Caenorhabditis elegans: one gene and its partners. The protein of the gene in region 2 purifies or fractionates together with the protein of the main gene of each other region. This does not show direct contact. Each region holds a gene or a part of one and is shown on either strand. Other genes may lie near its edges.

Evidence for each region. The genes of interacting proteins can lie anywhere in the genome.
Region 1: the proteins of nhl-2 (region 2) and hrde-1 purify together in Caenorhabditis elegans (affinity purification with western blotting, with the first as the bait; one study listed by BioGRID). This does not show direct contact.
Region 3: the proteins of nhl-2 (region 2) and drh-3 purify together in Caenorhabditis elegans (affinity purification with western blotting, with the first as the bait; one study listed by BioGRID). This does not show direct contact.

The regions. Positions count from the first base shown.
Region 1 is NC_003281.10:4,171,253-4,178,511, forward strand, and holds hrde-1 (Argonaute protein hrde-1), read right to left. Parts: upstream 4,908-7,259; 5' UTR 4,902-4,907; coding exon 4,793-4,901; intron 4,742-4,792; coding exon 4,531-4,741; intron 4,486-4,530; coding exon 3,532-4,485; intron 3,483-3,531; coding exon 2,958-3,482; intron 2,911-2,957; coding exon 1,962-2,910; intron 1,917-1,961; coding exon 1,726-1,916; intron 1,677-1,725; coding exon 1,517-1,676; 3' UTR 1,085-1,516; downstream 1-1,084. Other genes in the region: C16C10.4 (putative histone deacetylase complex subunit SAP18), read left to right, coding at 88-269, 395-575, 676-813; C16C10.13 (Rab3 GTPase-activating protein catalytic subunit), read left to right, coding at 5,531-5,647, 5,692-5,961, 6,006-6,314; utp-11 (putative U3 small nucleolar RNA-associated protein 11), read right to left, coding at 6,414-6,620, 6,725-6,855, 6,906-7,125, 7,176-7,259. UniProt on the Caenorhabditis elegans protein: Argonaute protein which is involved in the endogenous small interfering RNA (endo-siRNA) pathway and is required for RNA-mediated gene silencing (RNAi) in the germline.
Region 2 is NC_003281.10:4,891,814-4,900,875, forward strand, and holds nhl-2 (B box-type domain-containing protein), read right to left. Parts: upstream 7,273-9,062; 5' UTR 7,145-7,272; coding exon 7,023-7,144; intron 6,718-7,022; coding exon 6,372-6,717; intron 6,273-6,371; coding exon 5,736-6,272; intron 5,677-5,735; coding exon 5,235-5,676; intron 5,184-5,234; coding exon 4,633-5,183; intron 4,548-4,632; coding exon 3,785-4,547; intron 3,739-3,784; coding exon 3,566-3,738; intron 3,507-3,565; coding exon 3,342-3,506; 3' UTR 1,845-3,341; downstream 1-1,844. Other genes in the region: F26F4.6 (TFIIS-type domain-containing protein), read right to left, coding at 91-226, 282-458, 508-585, 1,040-1,430, 1,481-1,580; tag-340 (START domain-containing protein), read left to right, coding at 8,945-9,012, 9,059-9,062.
Region 3 is NC_003279.8:7,818,487-7,827,414, reverse strand, and holds drh-3 (Helicase ATP-binding domain-containing protein), read right to left. Parts: upstream 6,585-8,928; 5' UTR 6,573-6,584; coding exon 6,475-6,572; intron 6,416-6,474; coding exon 6,242-6,415; intron 5,989-6,241; coding exon 5,913-5,988; intron 5,866-5,912; coding exon 5,784-5,865; intron 5,739-5,783; coding exon 5,214-5,738; intron 5,027-5,213; coding exon 4,901-5,026; intron 4,855-4,900; coding exon 4,673-4,854; intron 4,592-4,672; coding exon 4,410-4,591; intron 4,213-4,409; coding exon 3,887-4,212; intron 3,451-3,886; coding exon 3,170-3,450; intron 3,127-3,169; coding exon 2,218-3,126; intron 1,779-2,217; coding exon 1,678-1,778; intron 1,622-1,677; coding exon 1,483-1,621; intron 1,436-1,482; coding exon 1,329-1,435; intron 1,227-1,328; coding exon 1,175-1,226; 3' UTR 1,037-1,174; downstream 1-1,036. Other genes in the region: glna-3 (Putative glutaminase 3), read left to right, coding at 1-139, 562-924; D2005.7 (NAM-associated domain-containing protein), read right to left, coding at 7,178-7,242, 7,384-7,596, 7,647-7,836; D2005.4 (TPR_REGION domain-containing protein), read right to left, coding at 8,210-8,215, 8,275-8,928.

The sequences.
Region 1 (7,259 bases), 720 kb from region 2:
TCTTTTTTCTCTTTTTTCTGTATAACCAAACAAATATATTTTATATTATCCCTTTTTAGAGCAAATTTATCTTTTTTTTTCAGAAAAATGAGCAACGGTCAACTCGTGTCTCAGGTGACAGTTGGTCACGATAAACCATTAGATCGTGAGAAAGTATGTCCGATGCTTCTTCGCGTCTTCGTTGCTAATAATCGTCATAATCCGATGAGCGAGTACAATAGTAGAAATGGAGGATCTGTTCCACCCAGCGAACTTCAAATGCATACTTGGTACGCGGTAGAAATAGAAAAATTAGTACTATTTGGCCGAAATTATAGAACTTTTGTCTAATATTTTCAATAATACATTCAAACTTGTAAGTTTGGTTAACCTGAAGTATTTTTTTTATTTTCAGGATGGACTGTTCTCTGCGTGAATTGACCAGTCTAATCAAAGAAGTGAATCCGGACGCTAGAAGAAAGGGCACCACATTCGATTTCGCTATTGTGCAGGCAGACCGCGGCTCGCCAAGATACATTCTACGCGATGTGGGAAACACGACGAATGGAGAGCGTGGCATTGATGACAACAAAACTGTATGTGATTTTTGACACCACGGAACCATTAGAATTTTATTTGAATTCGGAAATAATATCTCCAATATTAAATTCGTTTTGATTGAACTTTGTTTTTCAGCTACAACAATGCAAATTCGAAGTCGGTGATTTCGTCGACGTCGCGATTTCCTTGCCAAGTCAAGGACGTCGTTTCAATAACCGGGAGCAGGGAGACCGTTTCGATCATCGTCAACGCCAACGTAGTCCGATTCGCTAGACGCCTAACTGTGTGTTAAAATTCAATGATACTCTTCTGTATTTATTAATGTGTCGATTCTTTTTTTTATAACGTGCAATGTAATATTCTGCGTAAATCATGTTTTCCTTTACAATTGTTCAACATACTTAACAATTTACAACAAAGTTTACTTTCACATTTACTGGTCAAAATTGCAAGCTATTTAATTTTAAAAAAGTTTTGTTTTGTGATTATGCAAAAATCGGAAAAATGATCGCGATCAAACTGCTTTCAGCGAAAACTAAAATTTCTTCTCGAATAATTTATTGCTTAATAAATGATAATGGACGGGGGGTAGAGCAAGTAAGATTATTGAAAATCGAAATTTCCAAAAACGTTCTAATTGGAAGTTTCTTTCGCCTTCGAAAACTCCTAATAAGAAAGTTGGAGGAAATTCGCACAGAAAAAAAGGCAGGTAAAACAGGAGTATCTACTATTCAAACTATGTGTCAATGTACTCTACTCTAGATTAAATTACAAAAGGATTCTTAGTTGAAATTATAAAAACATAAAGGGGAATACGATACAATTATGGGGAAAAATGTAATAAAGAATGTTCAGAAAAACAAAAGCATGGGAATTTAAGTACTTGTATAGAGAGTAGGTATAGGGTAGTGGATAAAAAATGTTGGTAATATGTAAAGGGGGTGAATACGTGACAATAAAAGAGAGAATCTCGGGATTACGCCCAGAAGTTTCGCTTCGGAATGGTCATTCCGTTCATTGCAACGGACATCTCATCAACAATGGCTGCCGCCAGTTCTTCTCGCATGTCTTCGTTGATGAGTTCCGAATGGTCTTTGATGATGCGGTTCTCAACTGCTTGCAAATTCACGTAACGCCTGGAAACATTTGTTTTTGATAAAGATTTTTAGGAAAATAAACTATTACTGATGAATTTTGTAATTGTTGCGTCCTCGTTTAGCCAGATTTTCTGCCGCATAAAGAACATCTGGAACCGATGGTGGCTGGTAGGACACTTGATGACCGAATGCGCGGAAGTACGTCAAGTGCATGAGCTCGTTTTTAGACCATTTGGCATCATTGACAAGGATCGTGTACTTGCACGGACGAACGGTACCCTAAAAGAAACTTTCATTTAATAAATTAACTAATGAACAACTTACAATAAGCGGCGTCTGTGAAGACAAAATGAACTCGTCGTATCCGTAGGATGTCAGGACATTCTCGACACATGTTCCAGATGGGATGTTCTGATCCGTCGCTCTGTTGCCACTGATACATGATGGAAAAACGCGAGCATGTGAAGCTCTTTGTGCGATGATCACCACGAGATGTGGACGGTATCCGGGCTGAATCTTGTCAAATGTTCGTCGCATCTCTTCGACTTCTTCCTTAACACGATTGAAGTTTCCTTCTCCAGCACCAACACGATAGATGACGATTCTTGTTGGGAGTGTCTTCGAATGCTCCTTGTACGATCTGACACACTTTGGGAAGAATTCATCAAGTTTTTGAAGTTTGTACTCCTTTTGGGTTTGAAGGTATGTGAAGCCTCCGAGCTGCGTCGAGTTGGTCAGGGAATACGAGACTCCAACAACTGATGGCTCACCATCCATTTGTGATCTACTGCGATCGAACAAAGTGCGTGATGCGCCATGAGAAATCTCGAATCCGATGAATTGTACATGTTCGAGAAGTTTCTTTCTCAATGTTTCATTGTTTGAGCACACTGCTTTTCCACGCACAGCATTCGGGATCTCGACGAAGAAGTTGGTTCCACCACACTTGAGGTTGAACTTTCTCATGACGTTGTCAATCGTTTGGCGTCCACCTTGACCTCCCATCATTTTATCGACAGTCTGTTGACACAATTGGATTGTTTGCAGGCCAATCGATTCCTCAAAGTATTTGAGTATGTCGTGAACATCCGGCTTCTTCTCCCTTGCTATTCCAACAAGAATGTCCACTCTATCATCGAGCCATTTCTTCATCAGATTTTGGATAGCAACGGAATCACTGGAGTTCAATTCACGGATGGACCAATCTCGCGAGTCCTTTTCGACCGTGATTCCATTGTCACGACAGAAATTGGACAGCTTGTCGCAGAAATCTCTGAAAATAGAATATTATAAAGCAGAAGAAAACAACGTTCGACTTACTCGGCCTGTCTCATTTGGATACAGTTGTCAAAGACAACAATACCAATTTTTCTGATCCGTGCTGGTTCGACAAACTTGTCCTGTGTGCGGAACGCTGGACGGCTCATGTCAGGCATGTAAGTCTGGCCCTTGAACTTGATTTGAGCTGGTGGGAGGAGCTTCGCAGTCATTTGGATTGGCTCAGTCGACATCAGTTTGATTCCGAAAGCATCCATGTACTTATTTTGTTCAAGCTTCAAGTTGTCGCGGAGAATATCTTGAACCAACTTCACATGATGCTGTGGCATAGACGCATTTCTTCCTGTCATCGCCGATTGTACTGTCGGGCTCATCTTGTTGACCTTGATCCGCTGGCCTGGAGCAATTCGAAGCAACTCCATTGGGAAGAAAGATTCATGTTTGAATCTTTTTGAGACGACGAGAGGAAGTCTCGGATATTTCAGCTTGATGTTGTACTGCAACAGGAAATATTCCGCCACGGTGACCTCGCGTTCTCCCTTGTCGTCCTTCATCATGAACGAAGTGCTACAAAACAAATTGTTATCACGCTGATGATAACTATCGAATAACTTACTTCTCAGCATTGTTCTCGGCAATCGAGGATACGCGAATAAGGTTACCCTTCAAGTGAGTGCATTCCACGTCCAATCCTTTGAGTGCTTCTTCAATGCATCGCTTCGTGTTTCCTCTTTCGCCAAAAGCGTGTTCCAACTCAGCAGCATCACTCGGAGAGTAGTCCGCTCCATTTGAAGAACCACTGTCTCGACGGGAATCGTACATGTCGCGACGTCCTCTGCTTTCATCTCGGTACCTGTCGTTGCCACCTCGGTTTCCATAGACACCACGAAAGTCTCTCGAGTCGGAACGGCCGCCACGGTATCCACCACGAGAGTCTCGCGAGTCACTTCTTCCGTATCCGCCTCTTCCACCGCCTCCACCTTTCATTTCGGATAACTTGTTGCTTGAAAACTTGATAACTGATGTATCCTTGTAAAATGGAGAAATCTTCGTATCAACCGTCATGAAAGCTTTGCCACCTCCGTTTTGCGATAGACGAGATACTTTCGCAAAACCTGAGCGGATCTCCGAAATAGCATCAGGTTCCGAGTGTGGCGGAGAAAGACGTGGGAATGTGGCATTACCAAATTGTAAGTAATCCTCATTGTTGAGCTTTTGTGAAGTGACGATTTCGATAATACGAGTCAACTCCATACGATTAGCCTCCTCCTGGGCAACTTCTCCTTGGGTGTACACAAATCCGGCAGGTTTGAGAACAACAAGGTAAGAATCGTCCTTTCTGCGAGACAACTTCGACACGAATTTCCATTCTTCCTTCGGGAAGTCATCGATCGTCAACGTGACTTCTTCTTGATCGTCACCAGTGTAGACTCCCTCCGGAAGATAGAGAGTCGCAGCGCAGTCGTAAGCAAGGAAGTGGTGACTCTTTCCACTGAACTTCACCAGAAGCTTGTCATGTACTGTTCTCATGATGTAGTATTGTGCCAAGCGACGGTTATGGGAATTGACACTGGAAAGTACTGATTTTGAGCGGTTATACAAATTAAATACTTACTCTCCCTTGGCCGCCAAAACTCCAAGGTTGGCATTGATCTGTTTTCCGTTGCTGGAACAGACGATGACGTCAACTTGAAAGCGTTGGATCTTGTGGGGCATATCCTTGATGTCCACTGGAAACATGTTCATCTGAACATTCATCGTGTCCATCGTTGCGAAAGAGTCCCGTCCAATTGGTGTTGTTGACTTCGGAGTAGAGAACATTGGTGCTGAAAAAGACAATTTTGAACTCCTAGGCATAATGTTGATTCTAAACGAACCACTTCTCTTTGACGTCGGTTCGTCCTTGTCCTGATTCATTCGGTTGTCTCGTTTGGGAATCCTGTTGGAAGACGAACTTCCCATAATTTTGTCGAGCAAGTCGGCCATGTTTGACTGAAATAAGAAACGATGAAACGAAAAAACGATGCGAATTTCAGATGTAATTGAGATAAAACAGTGAAATTTACTAAGAAAAAGTAAATGAAACAAAAGCTTTACCGTCCTGATTGAGATTTTCAAGTAAAATGAGAAAAAACGCAAGGAGAGAAATGAAATGAAAATAAATAAATTTTAGGCCAGAAAATTCGAGAAAACACATCCGTGGCGGTACAAAAGTTCAAATCGTGGCGCCACATGCGTTGTAACAATAGAGCGCGCTTGCATTGTGATCTCTTCGAAAAATTTCACGTCTAGAAATCGAATTTTATTAGTTTTCAAAAACTTAACGACTATTCTGAACATTTCAAATAAAATAATAGAAAACAATATTTTTAAAAAATTAATTTGTTATGCTTCAATAAATATTAATTATTTAATTCATTTCTACAATCAAAACGATGCTGGTTTTTCAAGTTTTCTGCTTTTTCGTCTCTTTTCTGGCAAATTCAATAAAATGCGACATAATTCATCTCAAACATATGCCTAAAATTCTGAAGGAAAAGGCGTTGCTCGAAAAGCCGATAATTCCAAACAGGCTGCTCCAGCCATTCCTTAATGAATCAATTGCTCATATTTTGATGAATCCGTTAGCTGAAGTGAAGACGAATGCGACGGAAATTAAGTTTCTAAATTATCTAGAAGATAAAAAGAAATATGAACCCGATTGGACAATTCGAGAACTTGAAGATAAAATTGTGAGCTTAATAAGTCATTTTTCAAGTCTAGAAAAGAGTTTCAGAGCCTATCAGAACTGGTCAAGACTTGTCTAGAACACCACTCGTTTCTAGATCTTCCAGATTTATTTCCTCGTTTTCTGTGTGGTTTGTTAGCAGTGTATAGGGAACAGAACACGACAAGTCTTCCATATACTGGATCAATATTTTCTCGATCATCAAATGCAGTAAAATTTCTAAATGATCCAGAGAATTATCCATGTCATTCTATGAATATGACTGATGTGGTGGCACTGGTGCCAGGAAGAATATACAGTGGATGTGTCAAGGATACGGTATCCTTTTCAACAAAATTCTGAAAATCCAGTTATCTGTTTAGGACCCTGAAAAATTCAGTCAATTCGATTCCGTCTTCATCATGTCTCATCCATTCCCAGATGTTCAAAAGTGTCAACAACCTGTGTCAGTGATGCCAAAATGCGAACTGCGATCGATGCTAGTGCAACACAAGATATTGTATCAGCAAAAAGATTGTTGCTGCGATTCCAACATGTGTGCCGTGCTCATCTTCACTCAGACCTCTTCACTGACTCCGCTTGTTTTAAAGACGATTGATTTGACGAGAGAGACGATGGTCCCGTTTCCAGTGACAACGACAGAGATCTCTTTAAATTCAATGTTTCAATAAAGTCAACAATTTCAATAACGCATAAAATGTAAACTCAACAGCAAAAATTAACAAAAAAGAAGATTCAGAATAAAATGGGATTAAAAAAAAAGAAATTAACTACTTCTTTCGTTCATAGGTCCATTTGTAGACGGCTGCTCGCATAGCTTTCGCCTTTTTGACCTTTTGAGGCTTCAATTCTGATTTGCTTCCAGCTGCCAATTGTTTCTTCAATTCCAGCTTGTCCACGACCACTTGAAGCTCCTTGGCACGTTCCACGCGTTTGATGAGCTCGTTGTATCGAGTACGACGTACACGATCGGCTTTCTGGAATAATTTTTATTAAGATTTTTCATTTGTTTTAGATATTTAAGGGGTACTTACTCTGACTTGTTCTTTTCATTTGTTTTAGATCTTTAAGGGGTACTTACTCTGACTTGTTCTTTCGTACCAGCTCCAATAATAGTTTTATTTTGAAAATCTTCATTTTTCAATCGATTGAATTGTCGAGAGAGCATCGAAGTGGTTGTGTCAAAGTAGACGCGTGGATCGAAACTTTTGGCTGAAAAATTCTTATATTTTTGAGATTTTCTTTTTAAAAAATGTTCTCACCTTCCGAATCTGTGTCCACAAAAACGGTATGAGTATTTCCTTTGCCGTTCAACGAAGAATCCGCAAAGTGAAGTTCTCCTTTCATTTCGTCGATTTTCTTCTTTTCCTCATTCAGCTTGAACTTGACATATTCCAAATCTTTCAAGCTTCCCAACTTTTTCTGAATTTGCGTTTCAGTCTCTTCTGCTTCAGTTTTCTTATCGAAATGACGACCGTCAGCCTGGAAAATTGTTTAATTAAGACAAATTAATTTAAATATCCAGTAAATACCCAAGTTTCACTGTTAACCATATGATGATGGTATTCGTCCTGATTCTTATCCATTGCCGATTTCTTCAACTTTTTGATAGTATC
Region 2 (9,062 bases):
GACATAATTGGCGCTTGATTAATTCGATCTATTAGGATTCCGTTTCTCAGTGTGATTTATCGAGATGTGGTGATGGAAACTTTGAAAAAATTATTTCACTTTTGTAGTTATTTTGCACACAGGACACTCAAAAAGTGCTATTGGAAGATCTTCCTCGTTGGGTGGTAACAAATATGAGATACGTTCCTGCATTTGTATTGATTCAAAGAAATAACGCATTCCGCATCTGTGAAAAATGAATATTTATATCTTTTAGCTTCCAAAACAGAAAGAAAACCAACTTTTCACATGTAACACTCTCAGTATTCGCAAACTGATTCACAGCTTTTGACTGTCCTCGAAATTTTCGATTGTCAATTTGTTGACCCGCATAATTCATTCGAGTCGCCGTGCTTACTTCATTGCGTCCGCTGCCACGTGGCATTGGTAGGAGTGGATGGGCGATGTAATACATTTCACTGTAACATTTCTGAGGTTTTTGGCAAAAGCTGAAGAAGAGAATATTACCTATCACCGCTCTGTTCAGCTGCATTGATGTCACATGCTGTCTGATAAGTCCATCGTCGTTTGTGGCTTACCATGGTTCTGAAAAGTGCATTTTTATTCAGGTTTATGCTGCTTATAAACTTCAAAAATTTGAAAATAACCGCGAAAGCGTTTCGGCTTAAACAAATTTTACTAATTTTATATGTTCAGTTAACTGTTAACAGTACTGTTGAAACCATAAAGAACAACAACAATAAATTGGCTATTTAGATGCCAACGACAGAGAAAGGCACCGAAAATGATGGGAAATGTAGCTTTTTCAGCCAAAAAAAATAAATTGTAAAAATTTTGTACATGTAGTATGCGAGTTGTGTATAACAGTAAATTTGAATCGGAGTGCCATTTTTTAAATTTAATATTAATTAATGAAATGTTTTTTTTCGAAAAATAACTTTCATGAAAAAAAGAGAATGAAAGATGGGGTTTTCACAGCTTTTGTTTCATTTTCCGAAATGAGGGAGTTTAAAATCCATTAATTTTTAACGAAACTCACGATGCACCATGAAATTCCCTCGGTGGATGGTAATTCCTGTTTCCTTTGATTTCTGGAGATGCAGAGGAGTTGGTAGAAGACTCTGGAGCAGAAGAACTTGTTGCTTGAGGCTCAGATGTCGAAGAATATGCAGAATTCAAGTCAGAAGACGAAGAAGATGATGATGATGAAGTTGAATATGATTCAGTGGAACTAGATGGAAGAGAAGATGATCCTGTTGCTCCACTTGCCACATCATCAATCACTTTTGTGAGATTTGGTGAATCTGTGTCCAAATCTTCCTTTTTCTCAATTTCTTGACTCAACTTCTTCTTCATATTCTCCCGAACAACTCGGCTTCTCAAACCATCCGATCGGATGAAGACCACTTGTTTCTCACCGAACATTAATCCTGAAAATACGTAATTCATGTTAATTTTTATTTTAAATTTAAAATCTCACTCATTTTCCTTGCTGGTTCTTCTACTTCCACTCGTGCCAAATGACTAATTGATTGAGGTCGTCGAGCTGATTCTTCAGATTCTTCATTTTGAGTAGACATTTTCAGTTAAATCCAGCTGTAAATTTCAGTTTTATCTAGACAAAAAAGCGAGAAAATCAAATTTGAAAAAGCAGCGAAGCATGATTTAATTATAAAAGTCTTGATATCTATGTACCTTTATCGTTTTCTCGTCATTCGACCATAATAATTATTGATCATTGTTCAATATCTCTGCGTATCTTTTCTCTTCATTGATTCACATCTTCGATATATTCACGCGCACATCTAACGCACAGCAAACACGAAAAACACGAAAAATACTTTTTTTTTTGATTAACACTTTATTTTCATCAAAGTTAAAATTTTGAAAAAGATGGTAATTATAATAAAATTCTGAGAAATAGCCTTGTAGAAAACATTGAGAATGTGTACTAGAAAGCGCTTTGGATTCGCCACGGAAATGGACTCAATAAAAATGGGGGAAAAATCAAAGTGGTTAGCACAAAAAAGTGAGAATAAGAATTCGCTCCAATAAAAATTTCACAAAAAAGAAGAAAATGATGGTTTTGAGCGGCAAATTTGAAATTTCAGTGGGAAAGGTACGGGGCTTTTATAAAAAATGATGGAAGAGAGTAGATAATTGTGTCTATAATCATCACGAAACAGGATTAAAGATGAGGTTCGATTCGATAGATGAGAATAAAAAGAAATGTACAAAACGAATAAAAACGATTTCAAAAATGGGAATATGAAGAAATTGAGTAACGAAATGTGCTTTTAGAAGAGCTTTTTGTGGTACCTACTGGGATATATAAGAAACATTTGAAAGCGACGGGACTAGGGGGGAGAATTACACTGTATGTATAGGAAAAAGTTAAGCGATCTCAATTGAAAAATGCACTAGAATTTCAATGAAGAGCGTTTAACTCAACGTATAGAGTATATATGACTGACCTCTAGAATCGCTAGAAATGAGGAAACATAGAAAAAAAAGCCGGGAATTTGGGGGAAATTGAGCATTTTCGTAAAATAGTATAAAAATCTGATAAAATTTGGCTGAATGCGAGAATATTTGGAGAAAGAAAAGAAATGGTTGCTGCACAGGGACGCTTTTTAGAATAGAATTTGGGACAACGATGACGAGGTTTTGTTGTAGTTCAAAATATAAACTTTATAGTTTCAGAGTTTTTTAAAAGTTGATCTCCCGTTTGAAAACGCTGAAATTATAACAAGGATAACAATATACGAGAAAAATGAACGGAAGTGAGTAAGAGTGTGTAGGGAGCCCTATATTTTTTTTGGAATTTTTTGATTTTTTTTGGGCGAGCTGAAATTCAAATTTCACTTAAAATAGATACAAAACGATGCAGTCCTAAGATGAGGCTTATAAGAAAGAAAAAACAAGAACATTTTTGAAACGGAAAGGCGGGGGCGGGTTGAAAAGTTGACAGGGGTAAATTTGAAAAAAAAAACGCTAACGGTATTTACATTTTAACGAATAAAATGGTATAAACTGGATAAATGGGAAATAAGAAGAAAAAACTTAAAATCTTTGGAAAGAATTTGAGCAAAATAAAAAAGAGACGTTTTTGTATTAAAAAGCTTGAGGGAGAGGAGGGGTGGCAAATGAGGTCTCAAAACGAAAGAATTAAGAGATATGGGGAGGGGAAAGAAACTTAGGAACTTAAAATAATGGAACAACACCGGGGACAACAAAAAGGCGGATAAGCAAAGGGAGAAGGAAAAAAAAGAAGACGGCTAGAAATGAGAAAAAAGAAATGTACAAGAAAAAAAGCTTATATAGGAATTGGGGTAACCTCCTCACTGAAACTTGCTGATGAGCGAAGTTGCATGAGGAACTGGAGTTGGAACAGGAAGTCCATTTGGAAGAATCAATGGTTTGAAGACGAATAGAGTGTGGTTATGCTTACACAACGTCACAATGTGACCACTTTTAGCGATTCGGAGACCAACGCACCGAGAAAGCTGAAAATACAAATTGTTCAATATAACTGCACTTTCTAAATAATTTTCAAGATACTTACTCTAAACTCGTTGTGAGTAAATGAATGAATATGTTGTCCTTCGGGTGAGAATACAACAACGTGCAGATGATTTCCATGAGTATCAGCTACAAGAACCTCTCCTGCCTTCGAGACGTCTATTCCAATTGGATATGGGGTCTGTGATGGTTCTCCCATTTTTCGGATGAATTTTCCTGAAAATATTACACTTTTTTTTAATCCAGAAAATTATTACGGTACCTTCAGAAGTGTAAACTTGGACACAATGATGCTTGAAATCCGTTATATAAATCAGGTTATCAAACATGGCAACATCAGAAGCTTCTCCGAGTTGAGTGGAAGCATCGAACCAGAATGTGACTCGTGGTGCATCTACATCAATAGAATACACAAATCCAGCAGTATCAACAAGTAAAAGTTGTCCATTCGGGGTTGCGGCAGCAGCGGATACTTCTATTCCGCCACGTGGAACCAAAGCCATCATGTTGAGACGTTTGACGAATTCACCACGAGCTTCGAAGATCTGAGCACGAGTTTTCCCGTCACCGCCTTTATCGAGTACCACATAACGGACAGCTTCTCCTCTCAGTGCAATCACTTTTCTTGGGAAGCACAATTGTCCGTCATCCGTTCCTGGACGTCCAATCTTCCATGGATGAGGTGGACCACATACGACAACTCGATGATTATTGGTATCAGCAATCAGAATATCATCAGTGTCAGACAAACAGAATCCAGATGGACAATGCAACTCTCGAATAGTGCTTCCTTGTTGAGATGTTCCGAACACACTGTGCACCTTCAGATCGCTGACTCGTTGTGCGTTCGCTGAATTCTGCGATTGACCGACATCCGAAGCAGTAGTGGTTACAGCCGAATTTGCGGCAGCAGTAGCTGCTAGTGCTGCAGCTGCAGCTGATGTGAGTTGAGGATTCAAACTCAAATTTCCCATTGCATTCATCGCCAAAAACTCTTGAATTGTTTGATTGGTGCGCAGGTTGTTCTGAAAATAAATATTAAGCATGTGTTGTGACTGCATAATATGAATAATGAATAGTATTTAGGAATGTTTCAAAAATAGAGCTTACCATTGACATTATTTGTGGATTCAATCGATGGCTGGCAAGTGCTTGTAGTTGAGCCGCTGCTAACTTCTGCTGCATATAGGCGGCTGAAGCATTAGTTGACAGACCAGTAGTTGTTGGTGTAGCCACTGCTGGAAGCCCTTGACGAGCATTCCACATCGCTGGGAAAATAGACTCTGGCAATGGAGTTTGTGATCCATTTGTTGATCCATTCGTAAGTGCTGCCAAATCCATGTGATTTGCAGCCAAGGCAACCAGATCAGGACGCATACCAGCAGCCGCAGCAGCCATCGCAGCTGCATTAGGAAGATTCGAAAGTTGCTGTTGAGAAACAATTGGAGCAGCTGTCTGAGTCGGAGCTCCAGTTATCATAGTTTGAGGTCCAGTAACAGGTGGGGGAGTTGTCGATTCTGGTGGATGACTGCTTGGTGGCCATCCGCCGAATGCATTGCTGTCTCCACGAGTACCATTGGTTCCATTCTGTGTGTTCTTCTTACGTTCTCCACCAATTGCACCGAGTTGTGGATTTTGTGAATAAACAGGGCGTCCCCATTCTGAAAGAATCAATATTAATAATCAATTTATAGAGAAAATAATCAATTTACCATCTTGTTGTGATGGATTAGCTGCTGAGCTAGATCTTCCACCTCCTGGTTGAGAACCTCCTCTTTCACTTCTATCAGTTGATGCTGCAGTTGCATTTCCAACGTCTTTAACAGTTGGCTGAATCACTCGTCCGATAACTGTTCCAGTTAGTTGATGCACAAAATGATCAATTTGTTTTTTCGATGGAGTATAAAACTCAAGTTCCACTTGGTGTCCATGAGATGGAATAGCATGAGACAAGTTTCCAAATTGTTGAATAACTTTTTTCCTCGAAACAACCAACTCGAGACCATTTCCTTTGGTAAGAAGTCGGCGAGTGAAGTTGATGGCATCATGTACTCGTGCTTCGTTAACTTGTGATTTACGGTACATTTCATCAATGTTAGACTCTTGACGGATTCGCGCCTCTTCGAGATCGTTCACGCTTTTTTGATAGGCCTCCTGAAATTTTAATATATTTTTCCCTTTAACTCCAAAACATTTAAATTTTGATGCCCTACCTCAATAGAATTGCGTAACTCCTCATAATGTTTATCAACTCGATACTTCGCAATCTCATACTGTTCATTCAACTGTTGAGACTTGTCTGGAAGGCTATTCATATCAGCCACAGAATTGTTATATTTCTTTTCGACACGATCCACAGTACTTGTCACATCTTCCCTTATAGCATTGATCACAAGCTCGTTGATATCAATGATTTTATGATTCAAATGATCAACTTCCAGGCATTGCTTACAAGCCGCTGTTTCACATGCTGCACACAAATATCTCATATGCTGATTATGAGTGGAGCACATGACTTGACGAAGTTCTGGATGGGCTCCAGGCTGCCGAAGATCAGCAAATGTGGTTACAGTGTGACCTTGGAAAAGGTTCATGACAGTATGAGCAGTTGTGCAGTTTTCGCATAAATCTGAAGAGCATTGATCACAGAATGCGATGGCTTCTTGTTCGGATTTGCAGGCAGTACATGGTTTGCGATGGTGGGCAACCATTTTCTCAACTTCAACTTCCTTCATTTCGGCAAGACGAACCTGGAAATATTATATTGAAAACATTGAATCCAAGTTTAGTAATGTTTTTGGTAGATCAAAAGACCAAAATACTATGTTTCAGAAAAAAATTCAACTTACAAAATCCAGGAGCATGGCATGAACATATCGAACATCATTTCCAACATGCGATTCTTGTGAACAAATTGGACATCGGATTACGCCAGGAGGTGTTGGTCGTTCTTTAACTTTCGGTGTTTCCAATTCACAATCCAACATTGCTGCAGTCGCTCGTTTCTTCTCTTCAATGGCAGCTGACTTTGCTTGAAGGTGTCCATCAAGTTGAGCAATAATACAATCTTCGCACATTGAATGAAGACAATCAAGAACTCGCGGTTTACGGAAATCTTGTTGACAGTATGGACATGAAGCATGATCATCTTCTGGTAGTGGTTCTGTGCCAAATAGAGGTGATGATGACGTTGATCTGAAACTATTTGGATTATTTATTTATCAGGAAAAATTAGTGTTTAAAGATGTAATATACTAACAATGGCCTAAAAAAGACCGACTTTCATAACCAAATTCATCAAAAAAAAAATTCAAAATTTGTAGTTGCAGTTCAAGAAATTTCAGAAAAATTGTTTTATTTTGGCTGAAAATTTGATTTTGCCAATTAAAAGATTTAAAAAACAATAAATAATCGATACGGAAAAAACAAAATTAGAGGTTTTAGTTGAAATTAAGAATTTTAATGTTTTTTTTTAACTTATGTAATTCATGATAGCTTACCTCAGTGGATCTTGTCCATTCAAACTGGGCGTTCCACTATTTTGTGTGTTATTTGTGGACGTAGCGGGCGATTCATGCCTACCATTCACCGCCGAAGTCGGCCGATCTGCCGCTTTTTTCATCTTCACGGAATGAACGTTCGACACTTTTCAATCTTCTTATCCGGGTGCTTTTTGTTATTAACAAGCACACAAATACAGAATAAGAGAATATTAAAGTATCAGGGACACTCTTGGAGTGTAAACTGAAATGAAAAATGATTATAAGAAGTTAATTGGGTTTAAGAGTAGTAAGAAATTCGAGTTTCACAGAAAATACATTCAAAAGAATAATAAAAAAATCAAGGAAGGCGTCTAAAGTTTCGGAAAATCAGTGAACTATTCGAACTCTAATAAGAATTACAACAAAAACGAACACCTAAATACAAAAAAAAACAAAATATTTGTTGGTTTGAACAACACAACGTTCAGTTTCAGCGTTTCTTTCAATGTCATAAGACTTATTCCACCTGACCAGAAAATTGTTAGGTTCTACAAAAAAAGAATCACGCGCAGACGAATAAGATACAGAAAAAATGAAACGGAAGAAGAGATAATCAAGAAAAAACAAAGTACTTATGGCATTCAATGTTCTAAATATTCTGCAATGCAATACTAAACAAAAAGCGAGCGCAGGGAATGTTTAAATGCAAGTGTTGTAAACGAAAATTGTTGATTTTAACAGAAAATTTTTAATTTTTAAATAAAAAATGAAGAATTTAAAAAAATTCAAAAGTTTTAAAACAAAATAATGCACTTTGGATGCCATTTTCTTCAGAATTTCACGATAAAACATTGAAATTTATTAGAAAAGCAGAAAGCTGAAATCAAATTCTACCTGTTACTGAAAAATCAATTTGCAAAATTCGAAAAAATGACGTCATTTCGACGAAAAAGAGCAATTACTAGCGCACTTTTGCACGAGACGCGTGCAGACAGTGGCGAGAGAGTATGCAGAATGAAGAGAGTAGTCATAGACTGGGACACCGCTTTCTGTATCGTCTCACACGCATGACACACACTTTCGCGGCCGCTACGCAGAGAAACCGCCTACTTGGCATCGTGCCAGCTGCACTTTCACCACCTCGAGGGTATTTGTTGGCTGAATGCCAAGTGGGCGGAGTGAGGGGCGTGAGGAAAACTGCAAAAGTGCGGCAGGGAAATTCGACGATTTTTTCGGAAGCGGTTGGTGGATGACCATTCGCATGATCATTCAGATGACAAACACTCTATTGGAAATTTTTTTCCGAATTTACATAAAAAAGAATTTAAAATCTTTTTACAATAGTAACGTATCAAGTTAAAAACTTTATCAGACGCTAATTAGGCTTCATAGGAATTTTGTTTACTTTTTTCGCATTTTAGCCAACGAAATCGATACGAGCAGGTTTTTGAAAGGCGCTTCCACTAATAAAGAGTTGCAATTTGACTAAATTAATATTTATTTAAATATATTTTACCAGTTCAACAGAAATAAATACTCAAAAGGGAACAATTTTTTAATAAAAAGCAAGGATTTATTCAAAAAGAATTTGTCCAAGAGGAGTTCTGAAATTCACAGTACCAATTTCGTTGCGGGACCTTTTCAATGGAAAAAGCTATGCTCCTTTAAAATTTCACAGGTACTGTAAAGTTTTAAAGAAATTGTTTTCCTTTTTCGATGAGATTCTATTTTTTGACGCCTTATCAGTTTGACCTCTTTCTTGATATCAGTTGTCTCATTCGTGCATCAATATTCAAAATTGCCTCACCAACTACTTCTTACCTTACTTTTTCAGCTCCAGAGGATACTGAAAAGTGATTTTCATTTGATTACCCTTACTTAAGTTTTAAAATTCCCAATATTTCAGATTAAAAAAGAATGGAAAACATCGAAAAAAGGTCATGAGCGGACGTCAACCACTAATTTCCCCCGGATCTCAAAGAATCGGAGTGAGCAAAGACAGAAAACGGTTGGCAAAAATTTTATTACTTTTAATTTTGAATTTATATTTACAGATTT
Region 3 (8,928 bases), on a different chromosome or scaffold from region 2:
TATGATTATTGTGATTCCGAATGTGATGGGTATTGCCTTGTACAGTCCACGACTTGATAAACTTGGAAACACGGTTCGAGGTGTCAAGTTTGCAGAACAGCTCGTACAAAAGTATAACTTCCATAATTATGATAGTCTGGTAAGTTATCTCAAAATAGAAAATTCTAAAGTTAATTTATTTGAGTTTTCTTTCGAAATATCTTATGGTGGGGGCGCAGAGAGAATCTCCTTTAGAAATCGACCTGGAAACGCGCTCCATGGCAAAATGAAAATGCTCCGCCCCCGAACCATGGGTCTCGTTAGGTATTTGGCGGCAAAACCGTATGCAACATTTATTTAGTTTTGCCGATTTTGTCAAATTTTTTAATTTGTTGTAGAATTTTTATTTTTTTATTCCGCCAAATTCCTAACGAGACCCATTGCTCGGGGGCGGAATGTTTTCAATTGTCCGTGGATCGCCTTTCCACGTAGATTACCAAACGAACTTTTCTCTGCATCCCGAATAATATATTTGGTTAAAAATTAGCATTTTCTACTTAAACCATAATAATCCCAATTCAGATCTACTCGGATAATAAGAAAATCGATCCTCGTCGTCAATTGAAAGATGATCATGACGGTCAGAATCGTTTCATGTATGCTACAAAATTGGGTGATATTGCTGCAATTAAACGATTCCTTTTGATGGGACATGATATTCATTGCAAAGATTATGATGATCGAACAGTTTTACACGTGGCTGCTGCTGAAGGAGACGTTGTCACATTGGAATACGTATTGAGTAAATGGCAAGAGGATCCGAATCCATGTGATAGATATGATAGAACTCCATTGGATGATGCTAAACATTTTAATCATACTGCTTGTGTTAAGCTGCTAGAAGAGGCAATTACGGTTTACAATCTTAAAGGACAAGATGATTAGGAATAGATGTTCTAGAAATTGATTTAAATTAATAAATCATTCCATTTTTTGTCATTTGTTAATTTACAGTCAAATTGTTGGAAGAAAAATTGAAAGATCAATTAAAAAAATAAAACTAAATAGAGCTTTATATTATTCAAGAGATCGAATGAAAATTGCTCGGTAAATAGAACACGATGAATGATATTAAAATAACAAAAAAGATTAAGAAAAATTGAATTCTCGTACAAGTTGGAAATCCTTGAGATGATCATTGAGCTTCTGGTGCAACTCCCTTCGTTGGTGGTTCTTGTTGAATATGGCTGAAAATGAAAGCATTATTATGATAATAGAGAGTTTATCCGTATTTTTTGAGCTTCGAAAGTGTTAAACAGAAAAGGAATCACAATCCAGAGCACACTTACAATCTCTTCATCTCGAGTTGCTTATTGTGTTGTCGTGAGTCCAAATCAAGAACAATCTTCTTTTCGATATTTTCTTCAGTATCGGAGAGCGCATTCAACATGATTCTCTGTAAATTCGTACAATTTTTAAATAATCAAGTGACCAAAATCTTACAAAGTCATCCTCGATTGCTTCTGAAATATAAAACAGATCCTGTTCCACATCCGACCATTTTGCTTTTGTCATCGAGGAATAGTCTGATTCTTGAACAAATGTCAACGCCTTGACACTGAGTTGCGGCAAATAGGTTCCTCTGTAGAAATGTTGTTTTATAAGAAACGACTTTTAAATAAATTAAATTTCAATTACCTTATTTTGTAAGCTCTTCCAACATCCAACTTGCAATGGAAGCATTTGATATCACTGAGTGGTTGATTGTCCTCACTCAAGTACTTACTCACCTTTCGCTTCTGAAAAAATTCAATTTTTCACAATCACAAATTGCGTTTCTATGATAAACAGAAGTCGGCTTAGCTGAAAAAAACATTTACTTGAAACATCTGGAAATTGCACAAAAATAGCCTGAAAGTCAATTGTCGGAAAGCAAAGTTCGGAAATTCAGCAATTTGATAATCGGCAATTCGACACTTCCAGGTAATTTTTAAGCACTTTATAAATGTTTCAACCTGAATAAGTTAATTTCAGATGAATAAAGCGATTTTTTTACTTTAAAACGATTTTTTAGTGACAGAAATTTTTTTAATTGTCTTTTTTTTTGAGAAATTTTAGGTTTCGGTTTTTTGGGAAAATGGTTTTACAGCCCTGGTCTACGAGTATAATCTTACAAAATTCATTAAAATTATATTTTCGACAAGCCGGCTCCGGTTTTTGAGCATTCATCAAACGTACCGATTCAACATGCAAAAATCTCCATACACTTGGATCGAACACCATGTAATTCGAGAACACTTTTTTGATATAAATACTCTTGCAGAACTCTTTTGAACAATTGCTGCACATCAATTTATAAATCTTATTCTCATGTCGTAATCTCAAATTGAGTTGCTCTTCCAGATTTCGTTTCCTTTCAGCCGCATTTAGTTCAGCGACTCGTTTCACTTCTGCAGCCAATTGTTTCTCGCCATTCTCTGTGATCTTCTTCACACAAAGTCTCATATACTTTTCAGAGATTAACGCGTTAGTCTCGGTTTCATTGATACTACTCTTCACTGATAAAAGCACAGAACGAGAGTTTTTGGCACGTGCACGACCTCTTTGTTGAACAAGTTGAATGGCTGATCCTGATGAACAGTTGTACTTGATAATAAGATTACATGCAGTAACATCGAGACCTTCTTCAACAACTGACGTTGCCACAATTACTTTAAGTCTTCCATTGTTGAATTTATCAAGTGTCAATTGTTGTTCTTGTGAAGTCTGCTGTACAGCGCCCTGTTTGTTTGTTCCGAGAACATATCCAACCATTTGTTCACCATAATTACCAAATTGATCTAAAACTTTAGATTCGTTCAAGAAATCACTGACACGTTGAGCGGTGCTTCTTTGTGTTACGAAAATAATAACTCGAGATTCAGGAGCCACGTGGAACTGATTGGTGAGTGTATTCTTGAGACGTAGAACAATTTCTGGTTCAACGGATTGAATTGTTTGTTTCAAAGTATCATGGTCTTTGATGAAGGTGCTGTATTCGACTGTCTCTGAATGACTTTCATTCAATTTCCCAATAGCTTTTTCCATGTATTTGAATGCAACCATCGCAGGCATCAGATCAACGATTCCGCGAGCTTCGAGATATACCTAAATCATTTCATTTACAAGAATCTTTGAAAATGAATCAAACCTTCATGTATTTCGCCCAAGTTTGAGAATTCCATTTCTCAGGAACATTCAATTTGTTCAACTCTTGAATAATACCTTGAAGTAATGAATCGTAGTACTCATAATTCTTCGGTTGATTCTTTTTAAACGTGTTAATCATATTCGGTGGGATAGTGTTGTTGCGGCCAGTTGATTTAGACATGCTTGCTAATTCTTCGAGAAATTTGCCATGGGCGTGGTTAAGGTATCGTTCGATGTAATCTCGAAGGATATTTTCTTTGGCAGGCAAGCATAGTTCGACAGCTGAGAAGAATTTTTTTGAAATAATTCTCTCATGAAATTTCATATTCCGAAGAGAAAACAAGTAATTGGTTATTTTTGGAATAGAGTAAATGAGGAATTTACTTTGAAATTGCCGGATTAGCTTGAAGTTAAACAATACCATGAGAAATAAGGGAAAACAAAGGAAATTTCAATACCGTGGTTTTGATTCTAAAGTGGGTTTTCAGCTTCCGAAGGTTTTTTTTTTCAATTCCTGTTTACAACACTTCATTTAGAAACCATTTTTCATTTTACAAGAACAATTTACAATTTTCAAATTTTTTTGAACTGTGTAAACTTGAAAATAAATATTTTTATAATTTGATACACCTAGAAATTTATCTTATTTGTATTTTAAAATTTATTTATGGTTTTTAAGAAAAAAAAAACTAAATTTCCAACTTGAGAACAAACTTACAATCATCTGGTTTTCCAACATGCTCATTGAGCTCATCTATGCTCGATTGGCGAGTGATTGTACTCAAATGTGGAGCGTTGATCAATGCGAGCATATTATAAATATCATTAAGCATCTGATTCTCGTCTTTTTGTCCATCAACTTTGACACTCAATGAAGCTGTCAGACCAATGATTTGTGGTTTTTCATACTTCCATTCTTGAACCATTTGATTAATCAACACATATGGATGATTTTTTGCAGCTTTATGTACTTCATCGAAGATCATCATTGAGAAATCACTCACATACAAACGCTCATTTTGACGTACCGATTGAAGCATGTTGCTGAAATAATTAGTTCGGGTATTATAAAAACCAGAGCTCGATCCGAAAAAATTAAACATTTTATATATCTTGATTAAAATTGCACTCTTTTTATAATTTATAATTTTTTTTGAAAAAAAAAAGTAAAATAAAAAATTAATGAGTTATATCAGAAATTTTCGATTCAGAATTTAATGAACCTGATTCCATTAACTCACATCAGAATTTGAGGAGTCATAACTGATACATGAGTAGCAATTACTTCATCACGACGTCCTGTTCCACTGACACTGCTCTCGGATCCATGAAAACCATTAACTTCGTACATTCCGTTACAATACTTCAGGAATCTGTCTTTTTGTTGACCGACAAGCGGGATTTTCGGCACAAGGAGCACAACCTGGAAAATAAAATTTTATTGCTTCTATATCAAGGGGAAATAATATTAGAACTTGACGAGAAAATTAAAAAAAAAACATACTCTGGAAGGCTTTCCTTGGGATGTTCGTTCTTCAATATGTTTGAGAGCCGCATAAATTGCCACTTCTGTTTTACCAGAACCAGTCGGAGCAACAATAACACAATTCTTTCCTTCGAGAGCCGGTTGGACAAGTTCTTCTTGATAAGTACGCAATACAAGTTCAGTAACCACCGCATCTGGATCTGGAAAAAGGAAAATTTGCACTAAATGTTGGAAATATAATCTTACTGTAGCCGCTGTCTTTCGGTTGTGGACGTATTGTCGTGCAAACATCCTCGCCGACAGCTTCCTCGTTAGTCCGCTGACTTTTCAGTAGGGTAAGGCGGATACGGTCACGTTCTTTCTCTCGTTCTTCTGAAAATTGATTTAGTTAAGCCTAGATTGTAAATCGAAATTCGTAAAATACATCAAATAGCATGAGATGGCCGAATAATAAAAAGTTAGGCATTATTTAAAATTGTATTAAAATAATTTCAGTATTTTGAAATCTGAAGTACAAAATGTTTGCCGCTATTTAATTTCCAAACAAAAAAAAACTTACCAAGCTCTTCTGGCCAGTTCTTATCCAAAAAGTAGAGAGCCGCTCGATTAGCTGGATCATTCTTCATTGCATCAATAAATCCGTAATACCACTCTTCGTGTTCATTTTTCTCTTTTTTGTCATTCGATTTGAATCCGATGATTGCGAGAAACATGGTGAGAGTCTTATGAAGACTCCATTTCTTCACAGCATATTTTTTCTCTTCTCCATTCTCGATTTTCAGCTCGAACGCTGGTCCTTCGGTTAGCAAATCTTCGACCAAATCAGTTGATAGTTGATGATTACCTTTGTTAAATACTTCAAAAGCGAGAATTGTAGTTTCACTAACACAACGTGGATTCGATTTCAGATGCTTCATAATAATCATTCCACGTGCAGCTCCAGCCACTCTATCAAGCTTCTGATATCCAAATGGATTATTGGTAACTTCCTCTTCATCGTAGAATTTATTTTTGAAAGTCTCAGCAGTTAACCAGCCATCAGGAAGATCTTCCCAGTGTGAGTATCCATAAAGTTCTTTATCGTCTGAATTTTACAGTTCAAAACGTTTGAAATTTCACGATTACTTACAGTTAAACATCACTTCGTCAGCAATTCTGAGTCCCTTCTCATCGAACAAAACAGTGTTCAAAAAACATTCCGAGAATCTTCTCTGAAATAAAAATTATTTTATTAAATGTTTTTCAAAAGTGTTTTTACCCTTTGAACTTTCTGCTGATGTGCGTGACGCAATGTAACGTATGTTTCTGCCTGTTTTCTGATTTTAACGTCGAGACTGAAAAATTGGTATTTAAAAAAAATATGGCACGAAAATTCCAGACACCATAATACTTTTTTTTGACCTTTTAAGCTTCTGTGACTCGAAAACTCACGATATTTAAACTTTTTATAAAAATTTAAGTCATTAAAACAATTTTATGTTTTCAAAACTCCGTTTCGACATCCTTGCCGTCACAGATATAGATAACACCGAAGAAATTGTTTTCGTTGGAACGTTTTTCTAATACATGATTTCTCTGTCGTCTTACTCGGCATTTCTGATTTTAATCATGTCCGGGTCATGAGAAACTGGAGTTGGCTCGTCAATGATCATTCTGGCAATTTCTTCCAATTTTCCTGGCGGGAACAGCGATTCAAATAGTTTGAAATATCCGATATCGTTGTTTCGTGTACTCTCCACGCATACATCAAGGAATTTCCATCTAAAATAATATTTAATTATTTGATCGAGTGCAAGGGGGGAAATGTATAATTTTCTTACTTGAGAAGACGAAAATACGCTGGAAAATATGGAGACTCAAACGGAAGGCGAAGCTTCGATTTGTCGTAATCTTCTAAACGTATTGCAGTTGGTTGCATTATCGAAAATATCTGTAGGAAATTATTAAATTAAATTTTGCCGACAAAACGACAAAAAGACATGTTGTTCAAACTGGCGCACAAAATATAAACAAGTGTGGCAGAGGTTTTCACATTAATGATTTTCTCTTCCTCTTGCCAATGATAAAAAGTTAAGAGGGAAATACATGAATGAACAGAAAACCATTATTAGTGTTAAAGAAGGGCAAGTAGTGTCAGGAAGGGAAGTTTTGGTTTCAGTATTCAATATTTAACGATGAGCAACGGCGGAATCAATAAAATTAGTATTTAAATTCTACAACATAAATAAATGTTTTGGCTCTTCAACCTTGTGAGAAAATAAAATCATAATATTTAAAACAAGAATAAAACTTTCATTAAAACTGCAAATTCACGGGAACCGGTGATGGAAATACGAGCAGCTGCCAACAGAAAATGAAGAAAAGAAAAGGAAATTTGAAAGATAGAACAGAAAATAAAATTCTTTCGGCAGGTTGTTGGGATGAATTTCAGCTGATGAATGGCAAATTAATACGAATAACTGGATGAAAAGAAAACATCGAAAATAACATTTTACAACGTTAAAACGAATCGTTGATGCACTTTTAAGCGTCTGGCTTTAGAAGTTCAGCGGAGTTCCTGGCAGCTTCAGCAGCACGGTCGGCGCGTTCTGAAAGAAAATAAGAGAAATGCTTTTTTTCGATATTTAATAAATTATCCATATGAAAAATTGTTAAATTCTTTCTTTACTCAAAAATCGAGTTTTAAGCGGTTTTTTGTAGGATTAATTTTCTAGCCATGAATAAAATACCTTTTTTCACAAAACGCTGCCTTTCGATCTCAATGCGCCATTCGAGAGGAAGTCGAAACCATTCTTCCACAGGATGTTGAGCAGTGAATGCTTCATCGGAGAGAGGATCATCTGGATCCACGTCCACATAGATACTTTTCGACGTCTCTTTCATATTGTCCAATGTAGAGTTTGAACAACTTAGTGATGGATTTTTAGAAATATTTTTATTTTCTGAAATTGCGAAGGTTGTTAAACTTGTCAACTTTTCTTGTAAAACGAACTTTTAGAGGCTAAGTATTTTTGGAGGAACTCTTTTGGCAACCGTTGGAAAATGTAATTCGGGTAGAACTTGGCGAAATTTCCTGTGTTCTCGTACTCCTTCAAGCACTCCTCTACGGTCATTGTTGGCTGAGAATAATGCTGAGAATGATTCTTTCGGGACCCACTTGATTTATTTTTTTTGTTGCCCATCTGGAAGATGAATATCAGCATAAAATAGGACACGGGTAGGGCTGCAAAACCTCGGTAAAGTTAACGTGTTAAACAATAAAAAGTAATACTAATATGAAAAGTGTCATAACATGTAGTGCATATTTCTGGTTAAAACCAATATTGGATAACAATAAAAACCTATAGAACAAAACTTTAAAGCGTTTATTAGAAAACACGAACAACGATACTATAGCTCTATAGAGAAAATTTTAAAGGGAAATGAAATAATCTTAACAAAAAAAAAAAGAAAAAAAGTTCGTCACTTGAGCATTTTCAAAATTTTTGAATAAAACTGTTGAACTCATCACGATGATGAATGCATTTGTGATATGTTACAAGTATTGCACGAAGATTACATCTGGAAAATAAACTCAGTTATTGGAATTATTTAACGGCATTTCTAAAAAAATAAATTACCTTGTTCGAGTAGCCGTGTTTTTCGCGTAGCCGATAAATTTCATTGATTACTGGCTCATTCAAAAGAGCCCACTTATCGTCCGGGTAGAAGCCGTACAAACAGTTCTTGCCACATTGTGCTAAGGGTTTCAGTGGGATTTTCTCGTTATCGCATGATACTCCGTCAATTGACTCGTCCTCTTCTTTCCGTTCAACTTTCACATTGTCGGGGTCTTCAGCCTCCACCGGCTCATCGTTGATCACAGAATCGGAACAATTACCAGCAGTTTCTGAATCCATATGATCTTTCGAAGTTTTTACACAGTCTCCGGTTGATTCTTCTTTCAACACTTCTTCAGAGATTACAGAGCTGGCAACGACCTGTGAAGCTTTCTCCTGGTCTTCATTATTTGCATCATCTGTGCTAGTCGCATTTTCTTGAACGATATCCGGTTCAGCAGCCACTGCATCTACTGCGATCACTCCTTCTTTTGCATCGGAAGACGCTTTTGTGGTTACTTCTTCCGATTCTTCACACTTTTCCGCGTCTCCAGGAAGTACTTCTGGGCTCTTCTCAGGTACCTTGCTATCTTCTTTTGACTGCTTTGTGTCTTCCTTCAGCTCTTCCTTATCAATTTTTTTGTGTGATGTCAAAAATTTGATCTTAATTGTGAA